Linked DNA regions of Arabidopsis thaliana. The protein of the gene in region 1 interacts with the protein of each later gene in a pairwise test. Each region holds a gene or a part of one and is shown on either strand. Other genes may lie near its edges.

Region 1 (4,173 bases):
TCTCTCGTCGGATTTAGCAGAGTGGAGATGATCTCAATGAATCTCTCACCGTTACATATATATACATTCCGTTGACCATGACCTCTTGGGAATTACATTTTTACCCTTCATTCCTCATTTCTCGTATTGGTGGTTCTTCGGCTCGGTTCGGTTCGATTTGAATTTGTCGATTTTGTTGAACTAAAATTGGTCCGGTTCGTTTGGTTTATTTAGTTCGAAGGCACTTTATTCGGTTGGTTTCAGTAATGAGGTTTCGGTATATTTGGGTTAATTTCGGTTTGTATAATCGGTTCAATTCGATTTTAATGCCCACTACATTAGAGGACTCTGAAATCAAGATTTATGTATCCAAACATCTGTGAATGAAATTGAGATAAATCCATAGATGATGGTTATATTATACACACAACAGAAGGGAAGATTTATGCAAGAAACGAATGTAATTTTGAACATTGAGAAGATCCTATGAAGGCTTGTTTTTGCCGTAAATATCTTCAAAACCATCAGCTACTCGTTTCCTTCTTTCAGCAATCATTTCTGAATACGACTGAACCAAAGTACACGAAAAAACCACCAGAATCTCAAAGACAAGACCAAAGTAAAGTCTTGTTCACTAAGATTATAGAAACTAGCATTGTCTGAAGATGTTTAAACAGGATTTTTACTTTAACTTAGACTTAGTAAATTAGAGCTACGAACATTTCTTTAGTAAGGGAATGAAAAGGAGAGGTTGTTAGATGATGGAAGGGAAAATCATACCTTTGGGTAGCTATAAAGGAATATGTACCACCAAGCACCAATTACACCAACCGCAAGCGATGAAACTATGACCGAGTGTAGTATTACCCAGCTACATGCCACTATTGATAGACCCGTTAACATTATCGTCCATGGCTGACACCTGAGAAACATAGCCAGTTGCTTATTCAAAACCATACGGAAGAACACTAGGCCCTGAAAACGTCTAAGAAGAACCGTAAAGTTCTTGATTGCAAATACACACCAGATCAATAGATATTCAAAGCTGTAGATGCTGAGGTCGAAATGTTAAACCCTTCTTAACCCAATTACCATTACATAATCTGTATTTTGGTTCTTCACTATCTTCCTAACCAAAAGATTCAAACTTTTTCTTTCTATCTTCTAAACCACAACACACAATCATGAAACTGTAATGGGGTAAGTCTTGTTTTAAGTAGCATCAATAAATATATAGCTTCATATATGATTCAAAAAAGTTCTTGGGCAGGCATAAATCACTGAAAATGCTAATAAAGATTAAGGATTGGTCCACTTAAAAGTGAACTTAAGACTCTATCTAAGCTATAATCCCATATTCACAACCAACAAATACGATTCCTCATAAGTCTTAGGACCAAATCCAAACTACTTGAAATAAAATTGTTGGGAACTTAAATGAGATTTACCAAGAGGGTTTAGTGTCCCAAACAGAGTCGTATTCGAGAGAGAGATTGTCTAAGAAACCTTCCATGTCATCAACTACGCCTTTTTCATCGACAAATCTTGAATCCTTCGGCTCTCTCCGATTCCCACCAAAACTTCTAACTTTCGTACTAATCCTTATTGGTTTGAGATTGAACGAGTGTAAGTTCGTTCGGAAACTGAGTTTTGAAAGAAGATTCTCTGTTTGAGGCCGAAACGGCGACAGAGACACGGCGGACATGGAGAGACTTGCCATCTGAAGACGACGATAAGGATAGAGGACTCGATTGACTCTAATTAAAATGTGGGGTGCTTTGTGTAAAATCAAAACATGATTTTCAGTGGTGAATAATGATAAATATTGGGCCTATTCGTTAAGGGCCCAATAAGTAAAAAGGCGCAGATACTGTATATGAATCAAAGCCCTAATTTATCAGACAGCTGCTTAGATTTTGTTTTCTTCATTGTCGTCGTCGGAGTGAATTAGGGATTCGAGAATGACGATGAACTCGCTTCCGAGGAGATTTGGGAAGAATCATGGCTATTTGGATCGAGATTATCGAAACGGAAGACGATCTGGTTCAGATTCCGATGAAGAATTGAAGGGATTGAGTCACGAAGAGTATAGGAGGCAGAAACGGCTTAAGATGAGGAAATCAGCCAAGTTCTGCTTTTGGGAGAACACACCGAGTCCACCTAGAGATCAGAACGAGGATTCCGATGAGAACGCCGACGAGATTCAGGACAAGAACGGCGGCGAAAGAGATGATAATTCGAAAGGGAAAGAAAGGAAAGGTAAATCTGACTCGGAATCTGAATCTGATGGTTTGAGATCTAGGAAGAGGAAGAGTAAGAGCTCGAGGTCTAAGCGCAGGAGAAAGAGATCTTATGACAGCGATAGTGAATCCGAAGGGAGTGAGAGTGATTCGGAAGAGGAAGATAGGAGACGAAGGAGGAAGAGTTCTTCTAAGAGGAAGAAGAGTAGAAGCAGCCGTAGTTTTAGGAAAAAGCGAAGTCATAGGAGAAAGACGAAATACAGTGACTCTGATGAGAGCAGCGATGAAGATAGTAAAGCTGAGATTAGTGCTTCTTCGTCTGGGGAGGAAGAAGATACCAAGTCAAAGAGCAAGAGGCGGAAGAAATCTTCGGATTCTAGTTCAAAACGAAGCAAGGGAGAGAAGACGAAGTCAGGGAGTGACAGCGATGGTACTGAGGAAGATTCGAAGATGCAAGTAGACGAAACGGTGAAGAACACTGAGCTAGAACTTGATGAAGAAGAGTTGAAGAAGTTCAAAGAGATGATTGAATTAAAGAAGAAATCTTCAGCTGTTGATGAAGAGGAAGAAGAAGGTGATGTTGGTCCAATGCCATTACCTAAAGCTGAAGGTCACATCAGTTATGGTGGTGCTTTAAGACCCGGTGAAGGAGACGCCATTGCACAGTATGTTCAGCAAGGTAAACGTATCCCACGTAGAGGAGAAGTGGGTCTTAACGCTGAAGAGATTCAGAAGTTTGAGGATCTTGGTTATGTGATGAGTGGAAGTAGGCATCAAAGGATGAATGCTATTCGTATTAGAAAAGAAAACCAGGTTTACAGTGCTGAAGACAAACGGGCATTGGCCATGTTTAACTACGAGGAGAAGGCGAAGCGCGAGGCTAAGGTTATGTCTGATCTGCAGCGGCTTGTGCAGCGCCATATGGGAGAAGAGGTGGGGCCAAATCATGACCCTTTCGGTGCTGGAAAGACTGAAGAAGATGATGATTGATTTTGCTTGGCTTCCTGCTTCTGTTATGTGGGTACTCATCTTATGCTTTATCTTGTTGAATGTTCCTTATTTGCATCATAGATACTGCTGTTTGCTACTTGCCCGTTAATGAGCTTCGTAGTTTATGCTTTAATCTGCTATGTATCCGTTAATGAGCTTCATAGTTTATGCGTTAATCTGCTATGTATCACATGATTGTGTTTGTGTGTCAAAGATAATAGATTCTGACACTGAGGATCTGCAACCGTTCTTGTGCATTTACCTTAGGTCATGTTCGATGATTGAATTTTGCAGGGCATTCACTTAGTTCTGAGATTGTAGAACAATCAATTATTTAGGATATCCGCTTTGAGCCCACCACTGTATTTTCGAATAATGTCCTTTAATGAGCTTCACAGATTATGCATTCCTCCCTCTGTATTCATATCATTGCGTTTGTCTGTTAAGAATCCAGTCATATCATCATCAATGTTATCATTGTCACCATTATTATCATCATTCTATTTTTAGAACTGTGAAACAAAACAAGTACTTATATATATTATTGGGGATCTCTATAATTGTGAAGTGCAATAATTTCGGAATTTGGAGGCAGATAAAATTTGCAATAATATCCGAATTTGCAGGCAGATCATATTATTGGTAAATTACCTGCAAGGGTTCCAATTATAGTTTATGATTCCACTTTTGTGGAACTATACAATGTCTGAATCTGTTCTCAATAAATGCACTATCTCAATAGAAGACCCTACCAAGTACCTAGTCCATAATCTATTATTCGTTTCATAAATAATAACATATAAATCATTCAAAGAAGCAAAATGATTTTGGTTAAGAATTGAATGACAAAGAAAACGACATCTGTTCAATTTAGAGGAGATTAGCATTTTCGTATTACTATTCAAAGCTTAAAAATAGTATTTAAAAACAAAAAAATTATCAAAGAAATGTCATGTAAAGGTCC
Region 2 (5,821 bases), on another chromosome or scaffold:
TTTAAAAAGAAATCGTAAAAGAGTCTCGTGTTTGTGACAGCTATATCTCCTTTGTCTTCCCCCCCCCCTCCCCCCCCGTAATTATATATTTACCCGAGACAAATTGAGATTAGTATCATTTTGGTTTTTACAATATGCACATAAAATCATGTTATAAGCAAAATTTAAAAAAAATATCCAATATTCGTACACTCATAATCAGTAGTTCCACTTGCAAAACGGTCATTGGTTTGTTTCCTACATATTAGGAAAGGATTCTGATTGTACTTGTAAATTTAAGGCTAACATAAATAGTTAAGTATACAATAACTTAGAGTGGTCACTCGACCCATTATCCCTAGTCCTAGTTTTAGTATAAATATGGCATAAATTTTCTAAATGGTTATGAATTTTAGCAATTTGATTTTTCTTAATATAAGAATTTGACCCAAAAAAACTTTGTAGTAGCATAGTTTTGTTAAAAACGAAAATTGATCTTTTATATGTAGCATTAAATTAGTAAGGTTTGTTTTTCTTCGAAAATATAGTATTAGTTATTACTACCAAAAAACGGAATTTATACCTTGTTTTTGAGAAAAAGTGATGTCATCATCAAACTAACATTTGATTGTTCTCTACAAACATTACATTTATACACACACAATTTTTTTTTTTTAAGTTCGTATTTGAATATATTATATTTTGTTATAAATTTGGACATCCAGAACAATACAAAAGCATATGTACTTATATACACATATGTTTCGTCATTTTAAAATTCATTACAATTATATATATTTAAACAAAATCACAAATGAAAAAAATAAAAATAAAAATAAAACTAAAAAATATGATGGTCCTATGGAATCGTAAATACGTATGCAGAAGTAAAATGTTTAGAAATATAAACACGGTTTTTACAAAAACAAAAATTAGAAAACGCAAGAACCTTAAAATCCGTCGAAAGTATCATAAGTTACATAATTCATGTTTGTCAAGACTCAAGACAATATGGTGTATGAATACAATCATATCCATTTTATTATCATAATTCTCATGTTTGAATGTCCAAAAAAAAAAAAAAAAGAGGATTTTCATTACGATCATCATCATTATAACACGTATATTTCTCTCTCGTTGTTTCTTCTCCATGTTGGCACATCAATGTTAAGGACGACTCATTAATTAAACTCCAAGATATAACATATCGGATGGACCATACGTGGGATTTAGAAGAGACCAAAAGGACAAAATAATATTGAACATATCTTAAGAAGAATTTACAATAATATGTTGTAGTCAGGGTTTAGCAATTTGATCTACCCCACTCTCCTCTTGAATGTGACAAAAGAATCAAATGAGAATTAGGTCACGGGGGCGGCTTTATGCTATCAAACATCACTTGTTTTTTTTCTTATCTCTCGATATTTTTTGTATAGTATTTGATCAAATAATAGACATTGTTCAATCATTTACATCCTCATATATATCAAAATAGAATACTGCTGAGACAAAAAAAAAAACGCGTTTATCATTAAGGTTATGACTACATATGCTTACATGTACATATATATGCGTGACGTTTGCATGCCTAATTATAAACTAGTTATAACCAAAACTTATTTGTTGGAATCCCACAAAAATGGGAGAGAACTCACGTTAACAAAATATATGCTCAAGTTTAACATATTGATCAATGTTGTTTATTTACATTAGAATCAGACGATGTCCGATTTTCCGTAATGATCAATGTTATCACTTCAATTTTTTTATTTCACTAACATGTAAGACATGATAACATTTTATACTGTGTTAATCTTTTTATGATAAAATTTTAGTTTTATGTACTTGATTTTTTTTATTTTTTATTTACTAAATACTTTGATGGTTTTTCTGTGAGTATGAAAAAGTGTTATTGTTGCAAAATGAAAAAAAGTAGTATATAACCAAGAAAAAAAAACAAAACTAAATATATGTGGAAAGGAAAATGAATGTACGTACGTCGTAGGAATTAAAAAGTATATGGGCCCATTAAGAGGAAATGGAGAAACGTAAGGCCCATTATGTTTCTCTCTAAGCCCTACCCCTAGTGTGTGTCCTCTTCTTCAATCATCATCTTTTCGATACCGAAGCAGCAACCTTCGCGCCGCCGAGAGATAACGAGAAAAAATGGGGAAGAGGTCGAAAACATCAAGGAAAGGGAAAAAAGCATGGAGGGCTAACATTAGCTCCGAGGACATTGAAGATTTCTTCGAGAAAACTACCAGAGATGCTCTCTCCGGTGGCAATCTCTCCGCTGCTCCCAGCGAAGACTTGTTCCACGTCGATAAATCCCATGGTTTGTTCTTACTTCTCTCTCTCTTTTTCAGCTGCAAAGTTTCAATTTTTCGATACATTAGCATCAGCAGAGTAAGATTTGATGAAGATTAGTTATTTAGCTGCTTGTTAAGATTTGATGGGAGTTATGAGAATGTTTATGATGTGATTGGTATTCAGGAAGTAAAAGAGTATTATTAATGTTTGAAAGAAGGCTTTGTGAATTTGATATTGATTTGATTTTGCTTATCAGACCTTCCGGTGAAGCGAAAGATTGAGAAACATAGAGAGAGAGTGCTCCGTGTTGACAGTATCTTAAAGAAGAATCCATTTGTCCAGTTAGTGCCATCTTCAAAGCCAAAGTTGAAGAAAAGTAAGAAGACAATCGTTATAGAAGACAAAGCACCTAAACAAGTTCAAAAAGTGAGTCATTTGATGATATGATTTCTTACATCTATAAGATATTTCAGGGATCTGATTTCATATGATTTCTCCTTTCTTTGCAGAGTGTTGGTGACGATTCTGTAATGGCCGACTTGTGGGGTGATGATAGTAAAGGTTTGCTTAGTCAATTATTCTGCTTTTTAGTTTTTTTTCTTCTTATCTATGTCATGAATTAACGTTTCCGTTTGCAAAATATTTACTTGCAGGAGAACATGAGAGCAATCCTAGAAAGGTAATGTGTCTTCTGTACTTAAGTTGTTTGCTTTTGTTGTTTCTGTATTGAAAATGTTAGTTGGTGTTAGACAGTTACTCAGTTGGCTAAGAACTTTTGTCTGGTGTACAGATTTTCAAAAATCCTTCGATTATTTCAGCAGTAGAAATTGAACATCCAGGATGCTCATACAACCCTACAACTGAGAGTCACCAGGTAATAATTTATTATGAACTAAGTCTCACAGATTTGAGCTTGTTTTATCATCCTAGTCTTGTGTGTGAATCTTGCATTCACACCTCTTTTCTGTATTGCAGGATATGTTGGCTGAAGCCGTCGCTCAAGAAATGCAGAAAGTTTACAAAACTGAGTTAGGGCCTGCACCTGTTCCTTTGACTATTGAAGGGGATACACTCAGTGAAGATGAGGTGAGTCTTTTGCTTGTATGTTATAATATAATCGATGGAAAGATGAGCATTGAATTTGATAGTTTAATCCATATGGCTGTTGTATTTACCATCTCAGAGGTACTTTCTTGATGTGGACAATTTTAGTGAAGGCGAAGATAATGAAAACGTTGAGAATGAAGTGTCAGAGGCTGGAATTAAGTAAGAAGCTCTCTTATTTACATGTTAACATAAATTTGTCCAAGAGAAAATTATAATTTGTTGACTTACTCCATCAGCAAAGAGTTGGATTTCATGTTTTTTGAAATTCTTATACTGCAGATTAAAGGAGAACCCATTTGTCCAGTTAAAGCCATCTTCAAATACAAACTTGAAGAAAATAGAAGACAAAACACCTAGACAAGCTCAAAAAGTGAGTAATTTGATGATATGTTTTTTTACATGTATGAGATGTTTTGTCTCGAACTTTTTCCTTGGGAGATTATCTTCATATGATTTCTCCCTTCTTTGCAGAGTGTTGGTGACGATTCTGTAATGGTGGACTTGTTGGGTGATGATATTAAAGGTTTGCTTAGTCAATTATTCCACTTTTTAGTTTCTTCGTAATCTTATCTTTTTCTATGTCATGAATTAACATTTCCGTTACAAAACAAATTACTTGCAGAAGACCTGAAGTACTTTCTTGAAGTGGGCAATGTTGGTGAAGGTGAAGATAATAAAGATGTTAAGATTGAAGTGTCAGAGGCTGGGAACAAGTAAGAAGCTCTCTTATTTACATATCAACATAAAATCGTCTAAGATAAAATTGTAATTTGTTAACTTACTCCCTCAGCAAAAAGTTGGATACTCATGTTTTTGAAATTATTGTACTGCAGTGTCTCAAGGAAAACAAAGAGGGTTACCCGTGTGGAATTAAATAAGCGATGTAGGCAAAAGGCACTGCGAAAAAAAGAGACAAAGGAAAAGGCTAAAGAGAAGATATTAAACGAAATTGACAGGTATCTTGTGATTTTAATATATCTTGATGATGTCTGATTACTTATAAAATCACGCCTAGACAAAATCTTGTTTTAATTATTTCGTTCCTGTTTTTGCCTTTATAGCTTGCCCAACATCTTAGAAGAAATAGCCAAAGAAGATGAGGATAAACAGAATAAACATTTACGAAGGGTCATCGCCAAGCAGGAAGTGCTGAAGATACGTCCTCCTCGGTTGGGAAAGTACAAGTATGAAACTAAATCCTTCTTTACATCTATACATTTCTGTTATATTTTCAAGCTTACTAGTGTACTCATTCTGATCAATTATATTTGTAGTTCTGAAAATTGGATTTTTGGGATATTGACTGTTGTTTGTTTCAGATTTGAGGCTCCTCCAGTTCAAGTCCTCTTGACAGAAGAGATGACTGGGTCACTTCGTAAGCTGAAGGTATGACTCCCTGTTCCCTGAAACCAACGTTTTTGGTCCTTGTGAATTTCTTGGTAGCTAAAAAACTGAAGATGTCATCCTTTTTATTTAAAAGGCATGTTGCACTCTTGCAAGAGATCGATTCAAGAGCCTCGAGAAGCGAGGAATACTTGTTCCCTCAAAACAGATTAGAAGGTTAGTTTTTTACGGCAATGACTCATAGAGTGAAATAACGTAAGAATATACTGAGTTCTTACTATGATCATGATTTGTGCAGGTTTTAGGAACTCTTCTCACTGTCTGCAGCTTGTTTGAGAAAAGCTTTTGGAAGAAAACAACAACAAAGACTGTCTCAATCGACTCATATATCTTGTGTTTTAACATAAAGTTTGTTTTACTGTTGTCAAATTTTGAGTTTATGAAAAAAATACAAAAGATTTTGCTACCAATCTTTCTGCTTAATCTCTATATGAAGTATTTTAGTTCGTTGCCCGTGAATCAGCTAAAGACTGGTGAAGGAAAGATCCTTTTGAATAACAAAAAGTTAAATTTTGTACTTAAATGTCATTTTACGAGACATAAAGCATAGTGAGTGTTGGTGCTTAAAAGTTAAAACTCTGCTTCAATCTTATACACACATTTTTCCTGAAGTTGCTATTATAATACACTTCTTACAAACCTATTTTACATACAATAGACATGAATAAATGCAACACAAGCTCTACCATCTAACAAATCCTTGAAGAGAAAGGACTCCAGAAAGCGTTTCATGTTTCTTCTGTTGCTGTGAAAGTGTATATATTTGTCGAAATAGCGATGATACTTGTGGCAACAGCAAGAACAAGCATTACTGAAGCTACAATCTTCTCTCTTAAAGTCGAGAAACCATTTACATTCCTGCCAGTTTCCAAAAACACCAAAACAATGGATAAGATTTAAACTTTATTCATTCAGAATTACATGAGAGGGATTAACCAAAAAGGGTAACATACCGTAGGACAATTGCAGCTGGAAAGATGAATGCTATAGAGACTGTAGAAGTTGATCCCAAGAACTG

Evidence for each region. The genes of interacting proteins can lie anywhere in the genome.
Region 2: the proteins of AT4G02720 (region 1) and AT2G40430 interact in a two-hybrid assay, tested with the Arabidopsis thaliana proteins (one study listed by BioGRID).

The regions. Positions count from the first base shown.
Region 1 is NC_003075.7:1,203,581-1,207,753, reverse strand, and holds AT4G02720 (Ras-induced vulval development antagonist protein), read left to right. Parts: upstream 1-1,861; 5' UTR 1,862-1,940; coding exon 1,941-3,209; 3' UTR 3,210-3,665; downstream 3,666-4,173. Other genes in the region: AT4G02725 (spindle pole body-associated protein), read right to left, coding at 464-547, 760-901, 1,428-1,699.
Region 2 is NC_003071.7:16,878,693-16,884,513, reverse strand, and holds AT2G40430 (Nop53 protein), read left to right. Parts: upstream 1-2,015; 5' UTR 2,016-2,148; coding exon 2,149-2,317; intron 2,318-2,548; coding exon 2,549-2,718; intron 2,719-2,801; coding exon 2,802-2,853; intron 2,854-2,945; coding exon 2,946-2,971; intron 2,972-3,082; coding exon 3,083-3,166; intron 3,167-3,267; coding exon 3,268-3,378; intron 3,379-3,475; coding exon 3,476-3,558; intron 3,559-3,678; coding exon 3,679-3,769; intron 3,770-3,870; coding exon 3,871-3,922; intron 3,923-4,021; coding exon 4,022-4,112; intron 4,113-4,232; coding exon 4,233-4,355; intron 4,356-4,460; coding exon 4,461-4,583; intron 4,584-4,718; coding exon 4,719-4,785; intron 4,786-4,879; coding exon 4,880-4,987; 3' UTR 4,988-5,041; coding exon of another isoform or gene 5,042-5,048; 3' UTR 5,049-5,298; downstream 5,299-5,821. Other genes in the region: AT2G40420 (Transmembrane amino acid transporter family protein), read right to left, coding at 5,532-5,661, 5,757-5,821. UniProt on the Arabidopsis thaliana protein: May play a role in ribosome biogenesis.